Linked DNA regions of Macaca mulatta. The protein of the gene in region 2 interacts with the protein of the main gene of each other region in a pairwise test. Links are inferred from orthologs where the notes say so. Each region holds a gene or a part of one and is shown on either strand. Other genes may lie near its edges. The genes, in order: KATNAL1, CEP57L1 and RAD51D.

Region 1 (8,177 bases), on a different chromosome or scaffold from region 2:
AAAGAATTTAGCTGGCCTTTGTCCCCGGTCCCTGGAAAATAGCCTCTAAAACCGTGGAAATACCCTACCGACAGGATTATTTTTGTTATCACAATAGGCCCTGAAATTTTATGCTAATCAGGTGACTCATGGTGGGCCCCTATATAGTTAACACCAACAAGACAACTCAGGATGGGGGGTGACCATGCCAGGAAAACCAACCATGTGATTACAGAGCTGGGGCTTTGAGCCATGTGATATCAACTCAACCTCTGGGGAGAGGAAGAGAACAAGAGATTAAGAACCATGGGCAATGATTCAATTGATCACGTGAGCGTCCCTAATTGGCAATACTCTATGTATTTCTCTTAGTCCATTTGTGTTGCTACAAAGAAATACCTGAGGCTGGGTAATTTTAAAGAAAAAAAGGTTTATTTGGCTCACAGTTCTGCGGGCTGTAAAGGAAGCATGGTGCCTGCACCCGTTCAGCTTCTAGTGATGGCCTCATGCTGCTTCCACTTATAGAGAAAGGTGAAAGGGAGCCAGCAGCTTGCAGAACTCACATGGCAAGAGCAGAAGCAAGAGAGAGGGGCAACAGCCACTTCTCATGAGAATGAACAGAGTGAGGACATACTCATTACCACAAGGTCGACACCAAGCCATTCATGAGGGATCTGCCCCCATGGCCCAAACTCCTCCCATTAGGCACCACCTCCCAACACTACCACATCAAGAATCAAATTTCAACATGAGATTTGGTGGGACAAATAACCAAACCATATCCAAACTACAGCAGTACTATCACACGTCCATGTGATGCCATAATCTCCATATTGTCACACTTCCAGGAGAGTAAAGCATCCTGACTCCAGGAAGAGAGGGCGAAAGAAGCGTCACCTTGCGCATCCTTCTAGACCTCGCCCTGTAAGTTTCTCCTTTTGGCTGGTTCCGATTTATATCCTTTGGCTATAATAACAATATCATTGTAAGTGCAGCTGCTCCCTGAACGACTCAGGGGTTGGGGCACCAATCCCCTACACAGTCAAAAATCTGCATATAATTTTTGATTCCCAAAAAAACATAACAATGAATAGCCTATTGTTGACTTGAAGTCTTGCTGATAACAAAAACTGTAAACACGTATTTTGTATATGTATTGTATATTGTATTCTTACAATAAACATAGAAAAAAGAAAACATTATTAAGAAAATTATTATAAAAATATATTTATTATTCATTAAATGTAAGTGTGTCACCTTAAAGGTCTTCAGCTTGGATAGGCTAAGGAGGAGGAGGAAAAGGAGGGGTTGGCCTTGTTGTCTCTGGGGCGGCAGAGGCAGAAGAAAAGCCATGTGTAAGGGGATCCGCGATATTCATGCCTATGTTGTCCTGGGCTCGACTGTAAGGCCTCCCTAAGTTCTGTGAGTTGTTCTAGAGAATTATCAAACCTGAGAGGGTAGTGGGAACCCCTGAATTTGTAGCCAGCTGGTTGTAAGAGTGACCCAGGGACCCCCAGGCTTGCAGCTAGTGTCTGAAGTGAGGGCAGTCTTGCGGAAAACTGGGCTCTCAACCTGTGAAGTCTGGCCCAACTCTAGGTAGGTCATGTCAGAAGTCATTCAATTCAAGCCTGGAATCTGGGAGTCATACAACTTGTCTCTCCCACATCCCTGTAAACAGTCAGTCACTTATACCTTCTAAACATCTCTCACAAATCCATTGATTCTTCACTAACCAAAAAGCCCATGCCTTTCTACAGGTATCTGTCCTCATTGTTTGGCTAGATTATTTCACCAGCCTCCTGATGAGATTACTTTTTCATGTCCATCTATGTCCATCCCCAACCTATCCTCCATACTGCTACAGAAACGATATCTTCCTACACTTGCAAATACCCTTCTACTAAAAACTCTTCAGTGGCTCACTGACATCTTTGGCATGGCATGCAGGGCTCTTCGTGAGAAGTAGGTCACACCAACCACTCCAGCAGTGTCTTTTGTTACTATGTCCCATATAAACACTCTATCCTTCCAGCCACACTGAACTACAGAAGATTCCTCACATATACTATGTTCTCTTACACTTTTCATGTGTTTGTACATGATATCCACTCTGCCTTAGAGCCTTTCTTCATCACATCTACCTGTTTAACTTCTATTCATCTTTCAAGTCTCAGCTCAGAGTCACCTGCTCTGGGAGGCCATCCCTGATATTATTCTCCACAGCAGACTAAGTCCCTCCTCCTCTCTCCTGCCATAGCAGTGAGTTCATTACTCTTTCAGACACTAGTCACACTGTCCTCAACAAATACTGCACTTAACACATGGCCTCCATTAAACACATGCTTATTCACCCAAAGACCATGAGCTTCTTGGGGGCTATTATTATTCACTCATTTTGGTATCCTCCGCACTTAGCCTATCACGTGACACAAGGTAAATACTCAATAAATATGTATTTACCCAGTGTAAATGTATCCAATGCTTACTAAGTACTAGGCCCTGAGGAAAAAAAATTGAATCTATCAGGAATCACACATAAATCCTCAAGAGACTTTTAATCTATTAGAAAATATAGATAGATAAATTATGACGCAGTCTAAGAAGTGCTAAGATAGGCTGGATGATAAATGGATAGATGGCTAGAGTCTCAATGTAAGAGTGATTCAAGCATATGTTTATACTTCAGCCACTGAAAATACAGTAGTCTATTTCTTGGGCATCTCCTTATTTTCTAAGTAAAATTTTAAATGTTGCCTTTATAAAAATCATATAATCTGATCTTAAAACTTATAAAGAAGGACCTCGCTATTATTCTGTTACAGAAAAGTTCATCCCAGAGATACATATTTTTGAAAAGGCACTTAATATCTCCGTCTTTAACTTCTCTCACAAGCTTCAGCCCTGTATTTCTTTTTTTTTTTTTTTTTTTTTTGAGACAGAGTCTCGCTCTGTCCCCCAGGCTGGAGTGCAGTGGCGCAATCTCAGCTCACTGCAAGCTCCACCTCCTGGGTTCACACCATTCTCCTGCCTCGGCCTCCTGAGTAGCTGGGACTACAGGCGCCCGCCACCACATCCGGCTAATTTTTTATTTTTAGTAGAGACGGGGTTTCACCGTGTTAGCCAGGATGGTCTCGATCTCCTGACCTCGTGATCCGCCTGCCTCAGCCTCCCAAAGTGCTGGAATTACAGGCGTGAGCCACCGTGCCCGGCCGGCCCTGTATTTCTAACTTGGTGCATTTCCACGTTAATATACCAAAATTTAAAACTCAAAAATAATTCCATATCTTTTCCCCCAGAAGCACCCCCTGCTCCTACTGAACTTTCAACATCAAGAACAATAAACCAGCGTCTTTCTCCTTCCTGAGCTCCACATTTATGTTATCATCACTATTCTGCCACAGACAAAACCCAATTATCTTTACCCCTGCCTTCTTCTTGACATATATATTACATCCAAAAGGTTACCAACTTCCTTCAGTAAATATCACTAGCATCTGTCCTTCCATTCCTAATTCATAATCACCATCCTAATTCAGGCTCTTTGAATTTTAAGCCTAAACTACTGCCAATCACTTCTGAACATGCTCTTTGCCTCCCATCTTTCTGTGTTCATTGCAACCAGACTGTTTTTTCCAACTCACCAGTTTAATTATGCTACCTACCTGCTCAAAGACGTCTCCCAAACATCTACAGAAAAAGAATAGAACTCCTGGGAAATAGTCTGGCCTCAACCTACCTTCCCATTGGAATCTTCCACTAATTTATGTTTTCAACATTTACATAATTCTACGGCCTCATTAACTCATTTTAACCTCACTATATCCTATGAGATAACTATTAGTATTCCCATTTTATAGATAAGGAAAGTGAGGCATGGAGAAGTTCCATAACTTGCTCAAGATCACAGAATAAGTGGAAATGGTTAGAATTCGTATGCACCCAGTCTGGATCCAGGATCTGTGCCCCTTACCAATATTCTATGCTGCCTTCCTTACAAAACGTCAACGCATCTATTCCCAAACACACTTACACTTTCTCACTATATTCCACTGCTCACATCATTCATCCCCCTCAAGTTCCTACATCTCCAAAATGTCTCCTCCAACACAGTGAAATCCTCACAACCCTACAAATTGCAGCTTGAATCCCACGTCCTCAAGCATAAAGCCTTCTCTAATCATGTCATGTTTGTGCTTTGCTGAGCTTTCCAAGCACATGTGGACTGTACCACCCATTAGGCTCTGCTAGTGCCTAATGCTGAAAGCGATCTGTAACTGCCCAACTCTCTGTTTAGGATGTCTCACAGCTCAGGGACTCTGTCTTGAGAAACAAGGAACCTTACATATAACAGGGCTAAGTAAATGCCTGAAGAATAAAGGAATGGTATCACACAATGCAGACGTGTGCTATGGAGGGAAAGGCACATATAAACATAGGAAGCTGAGACACATTGAATTTTAAATTTTCTAAAGGTCTATTATGGTTGTCACAACCTATTTGGACTTCAATTTTCTAGTCTGTCAAATAATGGGGATTTAAGATGATCTCAAAGACTCATTCCAATTCTGAAATTCTGGAATTTACGTTTTGAGACAAATTTTATAAACCTGAAAAATTTCTAAGGTCTCCTTATTTTCATGTATTCTTTAAAATACATTTATCAGGCTTGAAACAGTGGCTCATGCTTGTAATCTCAGGACTTTGGGAGGTCAAGGTGGGCGGATCACTTGAGGCCAGGAGTTCAAGACCAGCCTGGCCAACATGGCAAAATCCAGCCTCTACCAAAAATACAAAATTTAGCTGGGCGTGGTGGCACGCACCTGTAATTGCAGCCACTCCGGAGGCTGAGGCACAAGAATCACTTGAACTTAGGAGGCAGAGGTTGCAGTGAGCCAAGATCATGCCACTGCACACCAGCCTGGGCAACAGAGTAAGACTCAGTCTCAAAAACTAAATAAATTTATTGTCCCATTTTAGTAAATAATCCATTCTCACAAATCCCTAAAAAATTCAAACACGATTTTTAAAAAAATAATAATAGTTCTAGTCAAGAATTTTATTCTACTGTTGCAGAAAAAAAATTATTTGGTCAGGAAAAAGATTCTTTAGAAATATATCTTATTTTCTTAAGCCAGTTTGCCAATAAATACTACAAAAGCACAGCAAGGACAAAATAAATTCATAAAGTCAGATATTCTGTAATGATATAAGAAGTGGTTTTTTTTGTTTGTTTGTTTGTTTGTTTTTTTGAGACGGAGCCTGGCTCTGTTGCCAGGCTGCAGTGCAGTTGCACGATCTTGGCTCACTGCAACCTCCGATTCACGGCTTCAAACAATTCTCCTGCCTCAGCCTCCCCGAGTAGCTGGGATTACAGGCACGCACCACCATGCCCAGATAATTTTTGTATTTTCAGTACAGATGAGATCTCACCATGTTGGGCAGGATGGTCTCGATCTCCTGACCTCGTGATCCACCCTCCTCAGCCTCCCAAAGTGCTGGGATTACAGGGGTGAGCCATGGTACCCGGTCAAGAAGTTGTTTTTTAAAACACAGCTAAAGACCTCTCTTTAGAAAAAACATTTGTGAAAACTCAAAATATAGCAAATGTAGTCTATAAAACAGTCAACAATGAGCTTCAAGTCAGTGACAAGTAAAACAAAATAACCATCAATGAGAAATATTCCAACTTTTGAAAAATAACTGTTTGATCATACCTTTATTCTATAAGACTATGCATTATTTCTGCTTAATCTGCTTAACTTTTTATTTACAGAACCATATACCTAGAAAATTCTTAAAACTAATCTCTAGCTCAGCATCCCTGAGGGAAGTGACCTAAAGACTATATAGTTTCAACACTCCAAGCCCATCTCTCCTACTATGCAGATGTAACACATCACAATACAAATTCAAATCCAGGTGTTTTGGGTGTATATAAACTTCTCCCAACCTTTTCAAAATGGGTTAAATACATCAAAAATACAGCAATGCTGCCTTTCATTCTGATGCAAGCAGCATTCTTATACCAAAACCAATTTAAAAAATTCTCACCTTCCATGGCCTTCTAATCCCTTTGAAAAAGTCAGGCATCCACATTGGAAGAACAACAGCTTCCCTTAGCAACTTCTTAGCTTCTTCCAGATCTGCTATGTCATCCCTTTGAAAGAAGAGCAAAGTTTCATAATGTTTATTCAGGGATCTTTGATTTATGGTCAAACCTAATTCTTCTAATTTTTTTTACTTATGAAATTGTTCTCATATTAAGAACATTAGTCTAATTCTTACTGCATAAAAACATCAGTGAAAACATTAGTTATTAATGAGGACATGTCACTGAATTAACAACTTTTGTCAGTTATATATCAACTTCAAATTAACATGTAAAATGTCCTGGTTACATTCGACAGAACTCTCCCGTCAATTCTATACTTTCACATTACAGAGGTGGTCATAATCAGATTAATGAATAACAAGAGAAAACTCACACCAAGCCAACCTATAACTTGTGTTCTCCTCTACTTTAATTCAATAATTTCAAAGACTCTAACCAATGAATGCTAGGATTCCTGGATACAATGTCTCTTTCAAGGGCTTCCACCAGGTCCTTATCATAACCAGCACCATCAAATTTTGGCATTTCACCATCACTTGCACCGTCTTGCATATTCTTCCTTCCCTGGGGATAGGTATAAAAAAAAGTACTAGTCAGTAACTGGATAATTTAGTTAACATCATTACGCTTTGAAAACATTATAATGCCATCACTTTCAAAATTTTATTATTTTAAGGTAGTATTTTCTGATTACTCAAATGCCATTCTCCTCTATTTAATTCATCAGAAATACATGAACTGGTCAACTTTATTAAAAACTTCAAATCTACATTCTTGCAGGGACAGTTGCAGGTAAGACTAAACATCCTTGCTAGATCCCAAAAGACTGGGAAAGCCTACCTTTGAACTAGTAGATGCAGAAGATTTCCACCACTACTAGAAAACATTTTGAATATTAATGTAGAAGGATCTTTTTAAATGGTATTAAGACCATTAAAGCAATATGCTTTCCCCAAATTCTTCATTTAATAATATAGTTGTTTTAAAAGGAACTATATGCTATGCTTTCTATGGGGTTCTGCCAAGATTTACACAGCTTTGAAAAGCTTTAAATGAAATTTACTTATTTGCCAGAGACAGTCCAACTATGGAAATACTTCAGCAAGCATAGCCAAGTGCCTCCCCAGAGCTTTAGCCCCAGTTACTGCCTACAGTAAAAATGAAACAAGAAAATGGCCAAAATGAGTCAATCTCCTAAACTTCAACCTCAAAAGAGACAAAAGAACAAGACAAACTTCTCTAATCTCACTTCTGAAACAGTCAAAAAAGGCTCAATCATAAGTGCTGGGAGGAAACTAAATGGCTCCTTTGGATAGATGCTCTGGTTCCTTTAAGCCACTAGGTAAGTGACCAAACGGTATTCTGGTACTTCACCCAAAAAAAACACAAATTATTTCTGGGCAGTATGGCAGTAGTATTACATTTATTAGCAAATTTTCAGGAAGATTCTTGCATTCCAGATGACAGATATCAATATTGACACTATTAAAAGGAGTAAATTTTTGGCACCTACACAACAAATACATCAACATACTTAAGCTTAGGCTAGAGTCACATTTTATAGTACGGACAGGCCAAGGCTACCAAGTCATATGCAAACAACAAATCACTAGGAACTTTCTGTAATCATTTTAAAACTATTCTAGAAATGTATCAACAAAGGATACAACAGAAACTGACATATCTGGAGCTTGAGCCTTCATATGGCATTGTAATTTATATTTACATAGTTAAAATTTCATTTTAATATGAATGTCCAGGTGGCCGGAAAGAACTTAATAAACACTACATCAGGAGAAAGAAAAAGCTGCATGCCTATCTGAAAGTAATAGCAGTATCACAGGATTTTTTGCGCATCTTTTACGTGCAACACATGTTATTGCGTATCAGGTTTTAGAGCAGTGAATGAAAATACATTATCTGCCCCCATCAAGCATCTAGTCCAGAGGGGGAAACAAACAACAATAAAGCAAAAACACACATAAACTGTGAAGTGCTGTGAAAAAACCTGAGCAGCCAGGATAGATAAAAGGTATTACACAGAAGAAAGAGGTTGAAGATATGGGCAGAGGTGAGTTTGGATTTC
Region 2 (7,822 bases):
ACATGTTGGCCCAGATGGTCTCGATCTCCTGACCTTGTGATCCGCCTGCCTCAGCCTCCCAGAGTACTGGGATTACAGGTGTCAGCCACTGTGCCTGGCCGGTTTTTAAATTTTTAATGATAATTTTTAAAGCAATACATCTTCACAAGTAATGACTTTATTAATAACTAAATATATTCAGCCACCTTCCTCAATGTATAGAAAACAAAACCACAGAACTATAGGTCTGCATTATGGTCCTGGTGGATAGCAGAAAGCTAAGAAGTTTAGCACAAAGCTAAGCTTAAACTATAAAACTCATATCCTCAAGGAGGAAAGGCAAAGTAGAAAAACAGGTAAGGTGATACAACTGAGTTTAGATCAAACACCCTATGGAACATCTCCAGGGCTGAGGAGCTAAGGATGTGAATGAGGAGGGTGAAAGTTGGCAAAGAGCACATGCACTATTTACACCAGGAGGAAATTTTGATCTCTGCCATTAACTGCTTTCAAGGACAATTCCAAGTATCAACGTGCCCATCTTCAGTCACCGCCCCACTTCCAGGTATGGAAGGTCTTCTAACATGGTATCTCTTCTCACCATTAGAATGAATTATAGTTCTCCTCCTCCCCAAAAGATCCATAATTACCAACTTTTTCCTACACAAGCTTCTTGCGAATTACCTAGGAAAACAGAAAAACTGTCTTTTAAAAATTGCTCTCCTTAGCTTCCCAAGATCCTGACCTAAAAATTCTTTCACATCTATAGCTTGAACACTCCATCAGCTGTGGATTCAAAGAATTCAGTAAATACGTACTTCCCACTCTGTCCCTTAGGAATCACCATCTCTTAAACTGCTACCCTATATTTGAGCTCCTCCATTCCATTACACCTTTTCTGTCTGTCCTCTATTTCTACTTCAGTTCACGACTCTAGTCCCCCAGCTGCTTCAGAGGATTTGAGTGAGAAACCAAGAGTTCAGGAGAGTCATACTAGCTCCCCTAGGCACTCAGAAAAACGATCAAGTGCAAATTTATTACAAAGCATGCATACACAATGACATTTTTTGACATTATTGATTTTAAAATATAAAAAATTAAAATATACCATACTACCCTGAATTTCTGCTGGATGAGGTAATTTAATGTCCAGCTTCCTCTTCCTCCATACTTTCTTGTAAAAAAAAATACCACTTTTGTGGGTCCTAGAAATTCAGTCTCAATTTATACTGATGGACATTACATATAATGCAAAGAATAGAAGTCAGCAAAAGTTATAAAGTAGTAAGATAAAATGGATCATTATTTTTTTTAAAAAAACTAGTTTTGTAAAAGAGAATGGGAATAGCAGATGAAAACTTCTGCAACTGAATTACTGTCTCCTAAAAATTAAGTAGCTATGGGTTCCTATTGTCTCATAAAACTTGGATTAAAGGCTTCTTCATAAAACTGTCTAATTGTTAAGCTTTTCCTTTTCCAAAAGAGAAAAACATTTCACAGCTTTAAAACAAAATAGAAAGAAGACACCAGGAAAGCTAAATGATCTTTCTGAACTCTGTTCATTTAACATTTGTTTTTAAGGTTGCAAACCTATGAAAAGTGGAATGAATGGTACTTGTAGCTCAGATTTAACTCAATTTTGAATATTGTCAATCTAGTACAATTTCTCAAATTTAGCTTAAGATATCTGCAAAGCAAACAATGTTTCTAAGACAAGATGAGGTTATAGGCTTCAATCAATAAGAAAAACAAAAAAGCAATTAATTTATTATTTGGAACCCAGTAGGTCATTAGGCATTAATTTAAAAATACTGCAACTTCATGTCTTATAGAAGCTAGAAACATGATTCAAAATGTCACAAAGTTATATTAAATTAAAACCACTTTAGACAATTCAAGGTCTCATTGACAAAGTTCATTAAGGTGACAGTTTTGCTATTTTGTTACTGTTCCCACATGATATCATCTCTTCTCAATTTCATTTGAAGATTATGAACTCGTATTGGATGAAAGCTGCTGTTTTTCTGAAAAAGTTTAGTGTCAGTCAAACATTTTCTGGGGCTATTTTTTATGTTCTTTGATCCTTTAGGGTTGCTGTCTTCTTGCTGAATACCTGAAGCTTCACTCATCTTTGAGTTTTGAACTTTTTGCTGCAGTTTACGGACCTGGAGAGAAAAAAAATCTAACATTTTAGTCAAAAATATACTAAAAATATATTCCAAAATAGGTTGAATTGATGGTTTAAAGTTAAAAAATTAAAATTGAACATTAAAAAGTTCAATTCGGTAAGTTTTTAATTTATTGAACATCTATTACATGCCTAACACTGTGCTTGTCAGGTAGAATTATAATGAAGAAAACAGTTCTTACTTTCAAGGAGCTTACTGCTCCTATTAGTGAAAAAAAGCATATATGTGACAACTAGAGAATACAATGAACCAGGATAACTTTGAATAAGACAAAAAGTGTATATGTAAGAAGCCCAAAGTAAGATAAGGTCAACGTGGGCTGCAGAGACTGGGGGGAAAGGTTGTATGTAAGATAACTGGTAAAAACCAGAGAACAGAGAGCAGAGAGAAGAACTTTTCTGGTAACATTAACAGCAAATCTAATAATTGGTTCTAGGAATGAGTATCAAGTTTTGAAAATTATACATACACACACGTGTGTGTATGTATGTGTATATATATGTGTGTGTGTATAAATATGTGTGTTTTTTTTAACTGCCATTCAGGAGTACTTTAAATTCAGGAATACCTTTGTGTACAAATACTTTTGTATATTCCTGAATTTAAAGTACTCCTGAATGGCAGTTTAAAAAAAAGTCAAGGGAATAACTTTATCACCTTGAGTAGTATATGGTAATAGTGGAGGCAGACAGAATTAAACAAAAACAATACGTATCAACCAGCCAAAACCCATTTCTTCAAAGTCTAACCCATTACTTAATCTGTTTCACTTGAGCATAGGTCGAATTTGTAGAGCTGACCCAGACTTTGGGTGAGTACCTAGTTCTCTATTTAGTTAATAATCAATTTTTATTACAGATATTACATTTATCATAATAAAGTGCTTAAAATTTATACTGGTATAGCTATTATGGAATATATATCATGTTTTTCAAAATATAGTATATATATACTAGCTGAGTTTTAAAAATGATCATTCTTCTATTCCTTTCAAGTTTCTCTTATGCAATTTCAAGAAAGTGTACAAGTTGTATAATCTTCACTCCAAAACATACAGAAATTTTTACTTATTATAGCCTTAAAAGCCAGTAAAATAAAAATATTTGTTTTAAAAATGTCACTTCTTTCTTTCTTCCTTTCTTTCCCACAATAAGAATAAAAGTAATAATATTCTGCATCTTTTATTACTTTCCTATAAAAGGCAGGGAGGCTTATTTGTGACATTCATATATCATTAACTTATATGAATGATGATTTTGTCCATAGGCAGATGGCTACATGAGGTGACTTGAGGGTTCCTGGGAAAGGCTCCCTCTGCCTTCTGCTCCAGCAGTGTAATAGTGCTGCAAGTTCAACCTACGGAGTCATTGTCTTGGAATTAAATATTATATTCCATGATTTTTCTGTTAAAATAATAAAACTGTTAGCTATTCTTAGTTATTACATCTTAACAGAAGTATAGAGTTTTCCTCACCATCCCTGTCCTACTCACTATAGCTAGCTGAGTATAGGTCCCCAGGGAATGGAACACAACACAGCCTGTTTTGGGAAAGAGGAAATCATGCTTTAAGGACTGGGGCACTGCTTAGGAGCCAGGTTTATGTCTGGTAGTGAATAAGAGACCTGCTGACATAAGGGGTATCATTAAAGCATTAGAGGAGAGAAGGAAGAGGAAAAAGAATGCTAAAAGGGTAATTGGAGGGCTGCTAAGGCAAGTTTAGTTTACCTCACAATTTCCCCAAAGCAATTTCTGAATACATAACTGAACCTATTTGTTCACTTAAAAAATTTTAACTTGGAGAGTTACGTAGGAGGTCCATGTTATTCCAGTGGGACAGATGGCTCTATTCTGTCATAGGCCTAAGTGACTACCATCCATCTTTTCACTAAATCCCATATACAGACCTCAAATTTGGAAAGTCGTACAGAGATACAACACTGAATCCACATTTTATCTTTTTATTAAAATCTCTTAGTAAAGCCTTCTTACACTGTCTTGATGCTTCTTCAGTTTGGAGATTTGTTCTCCTTTAATTTCCATTTTCTTGACTAAACACTCTAGTTCACATTCTATGTCGTCACAGACTGAATGGCTTTCAGTTTCCTTCATTTGTTTCAGTAGTTCTTGGTGCTCCCTATGAAAGAATAGCAAATATTAAGCACTACTATAGTTTATTGCATATATGTCTTTGCCATAATTAAGCAATTTTCTGTTCAATCATAAATTTTAGTCAGACTTAAATATTAACCTTTAAAAACAGCATCTTTCTTTAGGGTTGTTTAATTAAATCTACAGTAACTATAACCAGGCTCCTGTGATTTGAAATTAAATACCTTTACAAATATCTTAAGACTGCTAAGCAACTTTAAAAAATATGTGAATTCCTGATGCTCATAGCTCAATGTAGTAAAATGTGTGATGTCTTTAACAGAGGTATTAAAGGGCTTTCTTCCTCATTATTGATATAGGATCTTTGGAAGAATTCCAGCTGTGGAAGTATTTGCCTGAAAAATTTCTGGATTTGGAGTTAGCCTACTGAAATGCTGTTAACAGAAACAGCTGTATCTTCTACAGATGTCTTAGGTCAACTAGCTGGTCAGCCAAACCACATAGTTCTGGAATTTCTATTGAATATATATTTAAGCAAGTGGGCACAATATAATGTATCCCATATGGAAATCTTCCTTACTATAGATGCTTCAAAATCTGTAATGCAGACCAGCCAGAGTCTAAAACAAGGAATTACATTCCTACTTGTCTAATTAAATAATTCATTCAGCTAAAAGATTCTAAAACACAAAAGGAGAGCTTTTCTTATAAACGCTTTTGTGAGTTTTAATCTAAGGTCATCAGATCCTATATGTTAGAATGACAGTAGTAGCTATCAGTCCAGATCTTGGGAATACAGAAATACCTTAGAATGAAAAAGTAGTAGTTATAAAGAACTGAAATTTTAAATAGTAACAAATACAATGAAAAATAGTGACAACAAATCTTTCCAAATGGCTAAGTAAGGCCTTTAAGAATTTATAAGTGGTATTGTTCTTAAGACTAAGAAGAAAAAGTGATATGGTACTTCTCCTGATAAAGAATAAAAATTGCTGGCCAGGCACGGTGGCTCACGCTTGTAATCCCAGCACTTTGGGAGGCTGAGGCAGGAGGACTGCCTGAAACCATGAGTTCAAGACTAGCCTGGGCAACATAGCAAGACACTGTCTCTTAAAAAAAAAATATATAAATACTTACATGCTCATTTGGTCCAGCTCATCTTGCATTGCCATCAAAAGTTCAGATAAATTGTCACAAATGGAAATGGACTTTTCTGAGTCACGAGGAATAGCCTTACACCAGGAAGTTGTTCTAGAAGGCCTGGGGAGACATCTAGTCTCAGCCACGTTAAAAGGTTTCTGAAGGATATGTGGGCCACGATGTTGCCTCCTCTGCAAAAGGTTTTGCATACTTGCATTCACAGAACAGTTTGCACTGGTGGACTTATGGGAAAAGAAACAACTGAGAATAATTTTAAATGACTGAAGATATTTTAATAGCACTTACAATGAAACAGGAATTTTTTTGAACAACTATCTTCATTTTATCCCCTCTCACCTTTTCAGCCACAAAAGGCAGTGCTCCAAACTTTGAACAAATTTGCCAAGGTGGTCCTCTCTTTATACATTTAGTTTTCTAGAGATTGACAAGAAAAAAACATAAATAAGAAATTATTTTAAAAGTTATTTATGATATGAAGAACTCTCAAAACTCAACAGAAAACAATGCAACTGGAAAATGGGCAAAAAGACATGGACAGAAATTTCACTGACAAAGACATATGTATGGCAAACATATGAAAAGATATTCAACATCATTAATTATGGAAATGAAAGTTAAAATTAGTGAAATATCACTGCACATCCATCAGAATGGCCAAAATAAAAAATAGTGACAATACCAAATGTTGGCAAGCATGCAGAGAAAATAAAACCACTCACATATTGTTGGTGGGAATACAAAATGGTACAGCCATTTTGGAAGACAGTTTGGCAGTTTCTTATAAAACTAAAAATGTACTTATTACATGACCCAACAATTGCTCTCTTAGGCATTTATCCTAGAAAAATGAAAACTTATGTTCACATAAAAACATGTATACAAATGTTCATAGCAGCTTTATCTGTAATAGCTAAAAAATTGGAAACAATCGAAATATCCTTTTTTTTTTTGAGACAGGGTCTCATTCTGTCACCCATACTGGAGTGCAATGGTACAATCTTGGCTTACCGCAACCTCTGTCTCCCAGGCTCAAGCGATTATCCTGCCTTAATCTCCCAAGTAGCTGGGATTACAGGTGTGTGCCACTACTGCCCGGCTAATTTTTGTATTTTTAGTAGAGACGAGGTTTCACCATATTGGCCAGGCTGGTCTTGAACTCCTGACCTCAAATGATGCACTCGCCTTGGCCTCCCAAACTGTTGGGATTACAGGCATGAGCCACCATGCCGGACTCCAGATATCCTTTAACAGATGAACAGTTAAATTGTGGTACATCTGTAATGCGGAATATCACGCAGAAATAAAAAGGATGTATTGATACATACAACAACTTGGATGGACCTCAAGGGAAAAAAGCCAATCTCAAAAAGTTACATACTGTATAATTCCATTTATATAATAATATTGAAATAATAAAATATACAGATGGTGAACAGATTAGAGGTTGCCAATGTTCAGGGAAGGGGATGTGTAGCTATAGAGGGATTGCATGAAGGAGTCTTTTAGTGGTGGAAGAGTTCTGTATCTTGATTGTTGTGATAGTGACATGAATCTACGCATATGATTCTCTCATAAAATCTACACATGTGATTTCTCTCTATGTAAAACTCTCCTACTGCTGTAAGTTACCATCTAAAATTACAACTCTAATCATGTCCCTACTTTTCTCAGAAGCCTTCAATAGTTCCTGTTTATAGAATAAAAGTTCAAACTCTTAACATGGCATTCAAGGTCAGCCATTAGCTCACCCCAAGCTGTATTTTCCACTTTAACTTCCACTATGATCTCATCTCACCCCCAATACTGGACTATTACTTATAGGTCCCTGGAAAAACCAACAATTCCCTCAGACTGTAATATATTTTTCCTTATCTCAGTCTGTCAATATTTAATTCTTCAAGGCTTCCTTTAATATTGCTTCTTGCATTACCTTTCACATATTCCTTTGTCTACATAACACCACAACACTTTGTTTAAACCTCTATTAATCTTCTATTATACTGTTTCATATTTATATATTTATCTGTTTCTCACAAATTCCTGTCCAATTTTTTTTATCACCTAGAGATACCAGTCTATGTACATCAAAATGTAAGAGTTGAATGAACTATGTCCAGGACATGGAGAAACAGTGTGATAGGAAGCAGGTCTCTCATAGAGGCTTCCTGAAATCTAATCCTACTTTCAGCAACTTTAGCACTTCCTCCGTCTTTAAAAAGAGACACCATTATTTGCATACCCTGTGAACTTGGGATTTGAACTAAGTACTTCCATGAAATGATTCTGCTGTTAATACTCTCTTCTCTTCCAGGAGTTACCTTTTCTTTCCTTCATTTCTTTTATCTTCTTCCTGCACCTTCACTATTTTTATAATAAATAGGTA
Region 3 (8,177 bases), on a different chromosome or scaffold from region 2:
ATGTGTAGAATCTGCCTGCTGAAAAATTTTAAATTGCTGATGAAGGAGATCAAAGATGACTCAGATAAATGGATGACATGTACTTTGTTCATGGATTGGGAAACTGAACATAATGAAGATTTCAATTGTCCCCAAGTTGATCTGTAATTTAATGCCATTTCTATTAAAATCCCAGCAAGGGTTTTTTTTTTTTTTTAATAGACATAGGCAAGCTTATTCTAATAATTACGGAAAGACCAATTTTACCTAGATTAGCTAAAACAATTTGGAAAAAGGACAGTTGGAGGAATCAGTCTACCCAGGGTTAAGACTTGCTATATAGCTACACAGTTAAGCCTAGTGTGGTATTGGCCAAGGGACAGATGGACACAGATCAATGGAACAGAGTAGAGAACCCAGAAATAGACCTCCACAAGTATATACAACTAATTTTTTTTTTTTTTTGAGACAGGGTCTTGCTCTGTCACCCAGGATGGAGGGTGCTGGTGCTATTACAGCTCACTGCAGCCTTGACCTCCCTGGGCTCAGGCAATCCTTCCACCCCAAGCCTCCCAAGTAGCTGGGACTACAGGTATGGGACACCATGCCTGGTTATTTGTATTTGTATTTTTTTTTTTTTTTTTTAGACGGAGTTTCTCTCTCTCTTTTTTTGTTTTGAGATGGAGTTTCACTCTTGTTGCCTGACCTGGAGTGCAATGGCGTGATCTCGGCTCACCGCAACCTCCGCCCCCCCGGGTTCAAGCAATTCTCCTACAGGCACACACCACCAGGCCTAGCTAATTTTTTTTGTATTTTTAGTAGAGACGGGGTTTCTCCATATTGGTCAGGCTGGTCTTGAACTCCTGACCTCAGGTGATCCGCCCGCCTTGGCCTCCCAAAGTGCTGGGATTACAGGCATGAGTCAACGTGCCCGGCTGGAGTTTCTCTCTTTTTGCCCAGGCTGGAGTGCAATGGCATGATCTCAGCTCACTGCAACCCCCGCCTCCCGGGTTTGATTCATCTGCCTCTACCTCTCGAGTAGCTAGGATTACAGGTGCATGCCACCACGCCCAGCTAATTCTGTATTTTAGTAGAGATGGGGTTTCACCATGTTGGCCAGGCTGGTCTCGAACTCCTGACTTCAGGTAACCCGACCGCCTTGGCCTCCCAAAGTGCTGGGATTACAGGCATGAGCCACCGCGCCCAGCCTATTTGTATTTTTTTGTAGAGACAGGGTTTCACTATGTTGCCCAGGCTGGCCTCGAACTCCTGGGCTCAAGCAATCCTCTCGCCTCAGCCTCCCAAAATGCTGGGATTACACACAATTGATTTTTGACAAAGGTACAAAAACAACGTGATGGAGGAAAGACAGCCTTTGAACAAAGGGTGCTGGGGCTATTGGACATCGTAGGTTAAAAATATGTAATAATAAACCTAAACCTTATACCTTATATAAAAATTGACTGAAAATGGATCGTGGACTTTAATGTAAAACCAAATTGTGTAATTTTTTAGAACAAAACAGGAGAAAGTCTAGGCAAAGTGTTCTTAGATTTGACACCAAAAGTATGATCCATGAAAAAATTTTTGATTAATTGGGCCTAATCAAAATTAAAAACTTTTGCTGCACAAAACAGAATGAAAAGAGAAGTACAGAATGAGAATAATAGTTGCAAGCCATGTATTCAACAAAGGACTTGTATCTAGAATGGAGAAAGAATTCCTAAAACCCAACAGTAAAAAATCAAACAATTCAATTAGAAAATGGGCAAGGGCTGCCTCACACCTGTAGTCCCAGCACTTTGAGAGGCTGAGGTGGTTGGATTGCTTGAGCCCAGGAGTTCAAAACTGGCCTGGGCAACGTGGCAAAAACCCTGTCTCTACCAAAAAAATACAAAAGTTGGCTGGGTGTGGTGGCACATGCCTGTAGTCCCAGCTACTTGGGGGAGCTGATGTGGGAGGATCACCTCAGCCTGGGAGGTCAAGGTTGCAGTGAGCTGTGATCATGCCACTGAATTCTAGCCTGGGTGACACAGTGAGACGTGAGACCCTATCTCAAAAAAAAAAAAAAAAAAATGCCAGGTGCAGTGGCTTATGCCTGTAATCCCAGCACTTTGGGGGGCCAAGGTGGGTTGATCACCTGAGGTTGGGAGTTCGAGACCAGCCTGACCAATATGGAGAAACCTCGTCTCTATTAAAAATACAAAATTAGCTGGATATGGTGGCGTATGCCTGTAATCCCAGCTACTCGGGAGGCTGAGGCAGGAGAATTGCTTGAACCCGGGAGGTGGAGGTTGCGGTGAGCCGAGATCATGCCATTGCACTCCATCCTAGGCAACGCTCCGTCTCAAAAAAAAAAAAAAAAATCAACACTATTAACTATTAGGGAAATACAAATTAAAAACACAATGAGCTATTATTACATACCTATCAGAAAGACTAAAATAAAAAAATAGTGATAATACCAAATGATGAGGATGTGGAAACACTGGACTACTCATATATACATTGCTACTGGAAATGTAAAATGGCATAGTCACTCTGGAAAATAGTTTGGTAGTTTCTTATAAAATTAATAATGCCTTTACCATACCACCCAGCAATTGTATTCTTGGGCATTTATCCCAACGATGTGAAAACTTGGGTTTATACAAAAACCTGTAAAAAATGCTTTATAGCAGTTTTATTCACAATAGCCCCAAAGTGGAAACAACCAAATGGCCTTCAGTGGATGAATGGTTAAATAAAGTGTGGTACATCCATACCATGGAATACTTTTTAGCAATAAAAAGGAATGAACTATCCATATATGCAACAACTGGGATGGATCTCAAGGGAATGATGCTGAGTGACAAAAGCCAATTGCAGGGCCGGGCACAGTGGCTCATGTCTGTAATCCCAGCACTTTGGGAGGTTGTATTGGGCAGATCACTTGAGGTCAGGGGTTCAAGACCAGTCTGCCTAACATGGCGAAACCCCGTCTCTACTAAAAAATACAAAAATTAGCCAGGTGTTTTGGTGGGCACCTGTAATCCCAGGTACTCGGGAGGCTGAGAGAGGAGAATTGCTTGAACCTGGGAGGTGGAGGTTGCAGTGAGCTGAGATTGCACCACTGCACTCCAGCCTGGGCAACAGAGTAAAACTCCGAAACTCCGTCTCAAAAAAAAAAAAAAAAAAAAAGAAAAAGGAAAAAAAAAGCCAATCACAAAGGTTACATAGTGTATAATTCTATGTACATAACTTTGTTCTTGAAATAACATAATAGAGATTAGTGGTTGTCAGGGGTTGGGGATTGGGGTGACTGGGAGGAATGTAGCTATAAAAGAGTAGCAGGAGGATGACTTATAGTGATGGAAATGTTCTGTATCTTGATTATAGCGGTTGTGTAAATCTACATATGTGATAAAATGGCACAGAACTAGACACATCGTACGTGCTTGAATGCTAGGAACATTGGTGAAATCTGAATAAGCTCTGTGGATAGTACCAACATCAGTTTGCTACTTGTGATATACTATAGTACTTTCTTTCTTTTTTTAAGGAGAAAAGGGTCTTGCTATGTTGCCTGGTCTAGACTTGAACTCCTGGACTCAAGTGATCCTCTCACCTTAGCTTCCCAAGTAACTGGGACTATAGGCCCCTGACTAGTACAATACATTTTGTAGTACAATTGTTATTATTAAGGGAAACCAGGTGAAAGGTTCATGGACTTTTTGCAACTTCCTGGGAATCTATAATTATCTCAAAGTTGTTTTTTTTTTGTTGTTTGGTTTTGTTTTGTTTTTTGAGACGGAGTCTTGCTCTGTCAACAGGCTGGAGTGCAGTGGCGCGATCTTGGCTCACTGCAACCTCCGCCTCCTGGGTTCAAGCGATTCTCCTGCCTCTGCGTCTCAAGTAGCTAGGACTACAGGTGCATGCCACCATCAAAGTTTTTTTAAAAACAAAACAAAACAAAAACACAAATTTTGGGAAATGCTATCAAGGAAACCCACAAACGGCTGGGCCTGGTGGCTCACGCCTGTAATTGTAGCACTGTGGGAGGCCGAGGCAGGTGGATCACTTGAGGTCAGGAGTTTGAGACCAGCCTGGCCAACATGGTGAAACCCCATCTCTAATTAAAAAAATTAGTCAGGAGGCCGGGCGCGGTGGCTCACGCCTGTAATCCCAGCACTTTGGGAGGCCGAGGCGGGCGGATCACAAGGTCAGGAGATCGAGACCATCCTGGCTAACACTGTGAAACCCCGTCTCTATTAAAAATGCAAAAAATTAGCCGGGCGAGGCGGCGGGCGCCTGTAGTCCCAGCTACTCGGGAGGCTGAGGCAGGAGAATGGCGTGAACCCGGGAGGCGGAGCTTGCAGTGAGCCGAGATCGCGCCACTGCACTCCAGCCTGGGCGACTAAGCCAGACTCTGTCTCAAAAAAAAAAAAAAAAAAAAAAAAATTAGTCAGGGATAGTGGCGGGCGTCTGTAATCCCAGCTACTTGGGAGGCTGAGGCAGGAGAATCACTTGAGCCTGGGAGGTGGAGGTTGCAGTGAGTAGAGATCATGCCACTGCTCTCCAGCACTCCAGCCTGGACAACAGAGAGAGACTCCATTTCAAAAAAAATAATAATAAATAAAAGGAAACCCACAGGGCCTGAGATGAAAAAAAATGAAAGGAGGACCTTCTGATGGGGTGAAGAGGCCTCTCTGGAAAGCTGATCTTTAAGAATGGAGGGATGAAGAGAGACCAGAGAAGGAACATTGGGGCATTCCCTCTTTCCCAGAAGAAAACATCAGGAGAAGCCTCCTGGCCAGTGATGTTCAAAGACAGAACCAGTGCTTGAAAGGAATGTCTTGGCCGGGCGCGGTGGCTCAAGCCTGTAATCCCAGCACTTTGGGAGGCCGAGGCGGGTGGATCACGAGGTCAGGAGATCAAGACCATCCTGGCTAACATGGTGAAACCCCGTCTCTACTAAAAATACAAAAAACTAGCCGGGCGTGGTGGCGGGCGCCTGTAGTCCCAGCTACTCGGAGGCTGAGGCAGGAGAATGGCGTGAACCTGGGAGGCGGAGCTTGCAGTGAGCCGAGATCGCGCCACTGCACTCCAGCCTGGGTGACGCAGCGCGAGACTCCGTCTCAAAAAAAAAAAAAAAAAAAAAGAAAAAAAAAAGAAAGGAATGTCTTACTTTTCTTCTTGGTACCTTTTCCCCTCTCTTCCTACTAACCTCTTGTGTTGATTTTCTTCTTTTTTGCCATCAGCCTGGACAAACTGCTTGATGCTGGTCTTTATACTGGAGAAGTGACTGAAATTGTAGGAGGCCCAGGTAGCGGCAAAACTCAGGTACACGTGAGGCCCGCAGTCAGGAGGATTTGAGGGTGAGGGTGGTAGGTGCATAGCCCAGGATCCCTGGGGGAGCTTCAGCATACTGATGAGTTCAGAGCCCAACAGAGAGAAGATGGGTGATGAGGAATGGGGCTTGGACTCAGCGCATTTGTGTTGCTGGAATCTGGGCAAGGTTTGGTGGGGAGCTCCCATTCTGGACCCTCTCTGAAGTGTCAAGTTCATCCAATGCCCCCACCCCCAGGTATGTCTATGTGTGGCAGCAAATGTGGCCCATGGCCTGCAGCAAAACATCCTGTATGTAGATTCTAATGGAGGGCTGACAGCTTCCCGCCTCCTCCAGCTGCTTCAGACTAAAACCCAGGATGAGGAGGAACAGGTAAGGGGCAGGATGCTGGGTTCCATTGAGATTCTGACACAAGAAAACCCCATTACCCCTTAACATTGTAAGAATTTGGGTTGAATAGTCATTCCTTGCCTTCAAACTTGCTGTTCTGTTAATACATCCCGTATTCCTTAAGCCACCCCTGTTGATACCATCATCCTATTTGGGATGCTACTCGCACCGATTCTTCCAGAAAACCCTCCCAGCTCTGTGCATGCCCTAAACCAGGGCTGGTAAACACCGAGCTTTGTGTTTCCAGTCCATTTCTCGCCCATGAGAAGCATCACTAATCAGTCATATCCCTCTTTCCTCCTGAGTTTGAGTACTTTACAGCTCAGCACCCAGGCAGCCACCACCATGACAACTGGCCCATTAGACAAAGCTCATTTGCCACCCTGGACCTGAATCCTTGAATCCAGGTGCCTCTTCCTTCTCAGCCTTACCTCGACCCCCTACTCCCTCTTATCCAAAGCCCTTGCTTCTCTTTTCCACCCCTTCAGGCAGAAGCTCTCCAGAGGATCCAGGTGGTGCATGCGTTTGACATCTTCCAGATGCTGGATGTGCTGCAGGAGCTCCGAGGCACTGTGGCCCAGCAGGTGAGCCTGCTGTTCTGCCCCTCCTTGCTTAACTCAGCTTGCCAGGTGCTATCTCTGTGGGCCGGTGTCCTACTACAGACTGTTTAGAAATGCAGATGTGCAATTTGGTGACTCCAACTATGCTTGCTACTCCCAGGATGGAATTCCCAAGCGCCTAAATCACATACCTCATTGTTTACATGTTCATCTTCCCTGCTGAACAGTAAAGCCCCCTGAATGGAAGTATCATGTCATATTTATCTCTGCATTCCCCACTAGGTGAGTGAGGAATACTTTTAGCTGCCAAGTAATAGAGGTTGTCTGACAGAGACTTGAACCTTGAGGACATTTAATTATGTCACATGAGTTGGAGGTTAGCAGGTCCATGCTATCGGGGCAACAGTTGGTGTGTCTGATTTTCTTGTTCTTCCCCTCACGGTTGCAAAGAGGCTGCCGAAGCTCCAAGTATCTTGTCTTCACACATCCACATCCATATTCAAAGCAGTAAAAGATAGATGGTTCTTTTCTGTACCTCCTCCCTTTTATCAGGGATGAAGAATCTTTCTCCAGAGCCCACTAATATGTCCCTCTTCCCCTTACATCTAGTTGGCCAAAATGGAGTTATGTGTGTATCTTGGACTAAGGCCTGGGCCCACTATCCCTGAAGTCAGATTTCTGCCCAGTGCCCAAACACATTCAGAGTCGTGTTAATGGGGAGGATTTAGAATGGCATTTGGGTTGGTACTTTGCTATTCATGTTGGATGCTTAGACAAGATTTGGTGCACTGATTTATAAATGACTAGATGTGGAGGATACCTTAAAGATAGAATAGTTCATCTCAAACTTTTCCTCTCACCCCAAAGCACGACATGTTCGCACAGGCATCCCCGCAACTATATATAAAGTCAACGATTTTTACAAACTTTAGAACATATAATAGTTGAACAAGCTGGAAGTGGTGGCCCACACCTGTAATCCTAATGACTCCAGAGGCTGAGACGGGAGGATTGCTTGAGCCCAGGAGTTGGAGGTTGCAGTGAGCTATGATCATGCCACTGTACCTTACCCTGGGCAGCACAGCTAGACCCCGTCTTTTAAAAAAAAAAAAAAAAAAAGTTGAACAAATACTTTTCTCAGAAGTCATAGCTGGTTATGACCCACCAGTTTGTTGAGACATGATGCTGAGTAGTGCTGATCTCACTTTTAGAGATGAGAAGAGTGAAGGCCAGAGAAGTGAAGTGAGTTGACCAAAATTGACCACATATTTAGGACAAGAACTAACCGTATAGCCCAAATCTCTCAATTCCAGATCAGAAGACTGTATTTTTTTACTGTAGGACCATTAGATGGTATATCTTCTATTACTGCATAATAAGTTACCAAAACCTTGGTGGCTTAAGACTTGGATTTTTTATCTCACAGTTTCTAGGGGTTAAGAATCTGAGGCTGGGAGCGGTGGCTCACGCCTATAATCCCAATGTTTTGGAAGGCCAAGGCAGGAGGATCGCTTGAGCCCAGGAGTTCAAGACCAGCCTGGGCAACATAACAAGACCCTGAAAAAAGAAAAGGAAGGAAGGAAGGAAGGGAGGGAGGGAAAGAAAGAAAAGAAAAGAGAGGAAAGAAAGAAATAAAGAAAGGAAAGAAAGAGAGAGAGAGAAAGAAAGACAGGAAGAAAAGAAAAGAAAAAGAACCAGAATCAGGATATAAGAAGTAAGGGAGAAGACAAAAGAAGCATCAAAAACAGTTTAAGTCCAGGGAAACCAGGAGGATGCTCCTTCTTGTGTAAAGACAGAAAATTATGGTTAGAAAGATGGCACCAGGCCAGGCATGGTGGCTCATGCCTGTAATTCCGGCATTTTGGGAGGCCAAGGTGGCCAGATCACTTGAAGCCAGGATTTCGAGACCAGCCTGGCCA

What was found.
Region 1: the proteins of CEP57L1 (region 2) and KATNAL1 interact in binary tests that used the Homo sapiens proteins (3 or more experiments, as listed by UniProt). The two-hybrid records come from large-scale screens. The link is inferred for Macaca mulatta from reciprocal best matches to the Homo sapiens genes CEP57L1 and KATNAL1.
Region 3: the proteins of CEP57L1 (region 2) and RAD51D interact in binary tests that used the Homo sapiens proteins (3 or more experiments, as listed by UniProt). The two-hybrid records come from large-scale screens. The link is inferred for Macaca mulatta from reciprocal best matches to the Homo sapiens genes CEP57L1 and RAD51D.

Annotation. Positions count from the first base shown.
Region 1 is NC_133422.1:10,103,304-10,111,480, forward strand, and holds part of KATNAL1 (katanin p60 ATPase-containing subunit A-like 1), read right to left. Parts: intron 6,656-8,177; coding exon 6,528-6,655; intron 6,137-6,527; coding exon 6,031-6,136; intron 1-6,030. UniProt on the Homo sapiens protein: Regulates microtubule dynamics in Sertoli cells, a process that is essential for spermiogenesis and male fertility. Severs microtubules in an ATP-dependent manner, promoting rapid reorganization of cellular microtubule arrays.
Region 2 is NC_133409.1:14,267,398-14,275,219, reverse strand, and holds the end of CEP57L1 (centrosomal protein CEP57L1), read right to left. Parts: intron 5,854-7,822; coding exon 5,776-5,853; intron 5,661-5,775; coding exon 5,416-5,660; intron 4,304-5,415; coding exon 4,159-4,303; intron 2,145-4,158; coding exon 1,923-2,144; 3' UTR 140-1,922; downstream 1-139. UniProt on the Homo sapiens protein: Centrosomal protein which may be required for microtubule attachment to centrosomes.
Region 3 is NC_133421.1:44,626,177-44,634,353, reverse strand, and holds part of RAD51D (DNA repair protein RAD51 homolog 4), read left to right. Parts: intron 1-5,219; coding exon 5,220-5,301; intron 5,302-5,545; coding exon 5,546-5,680; intron 5,681-6,186; coding exon 6,187-6,282; intron 6,283-8,177. UniProt on the Homo sapiens protein: Involved in the homologous recombination repair (HRR) pathway of double-stranded DNA breaks arising during DNA replication or induced by DNA-damaging agents. Bind to single-stranded DNA (ssDNA) and has DNA-dependent ATPase activity.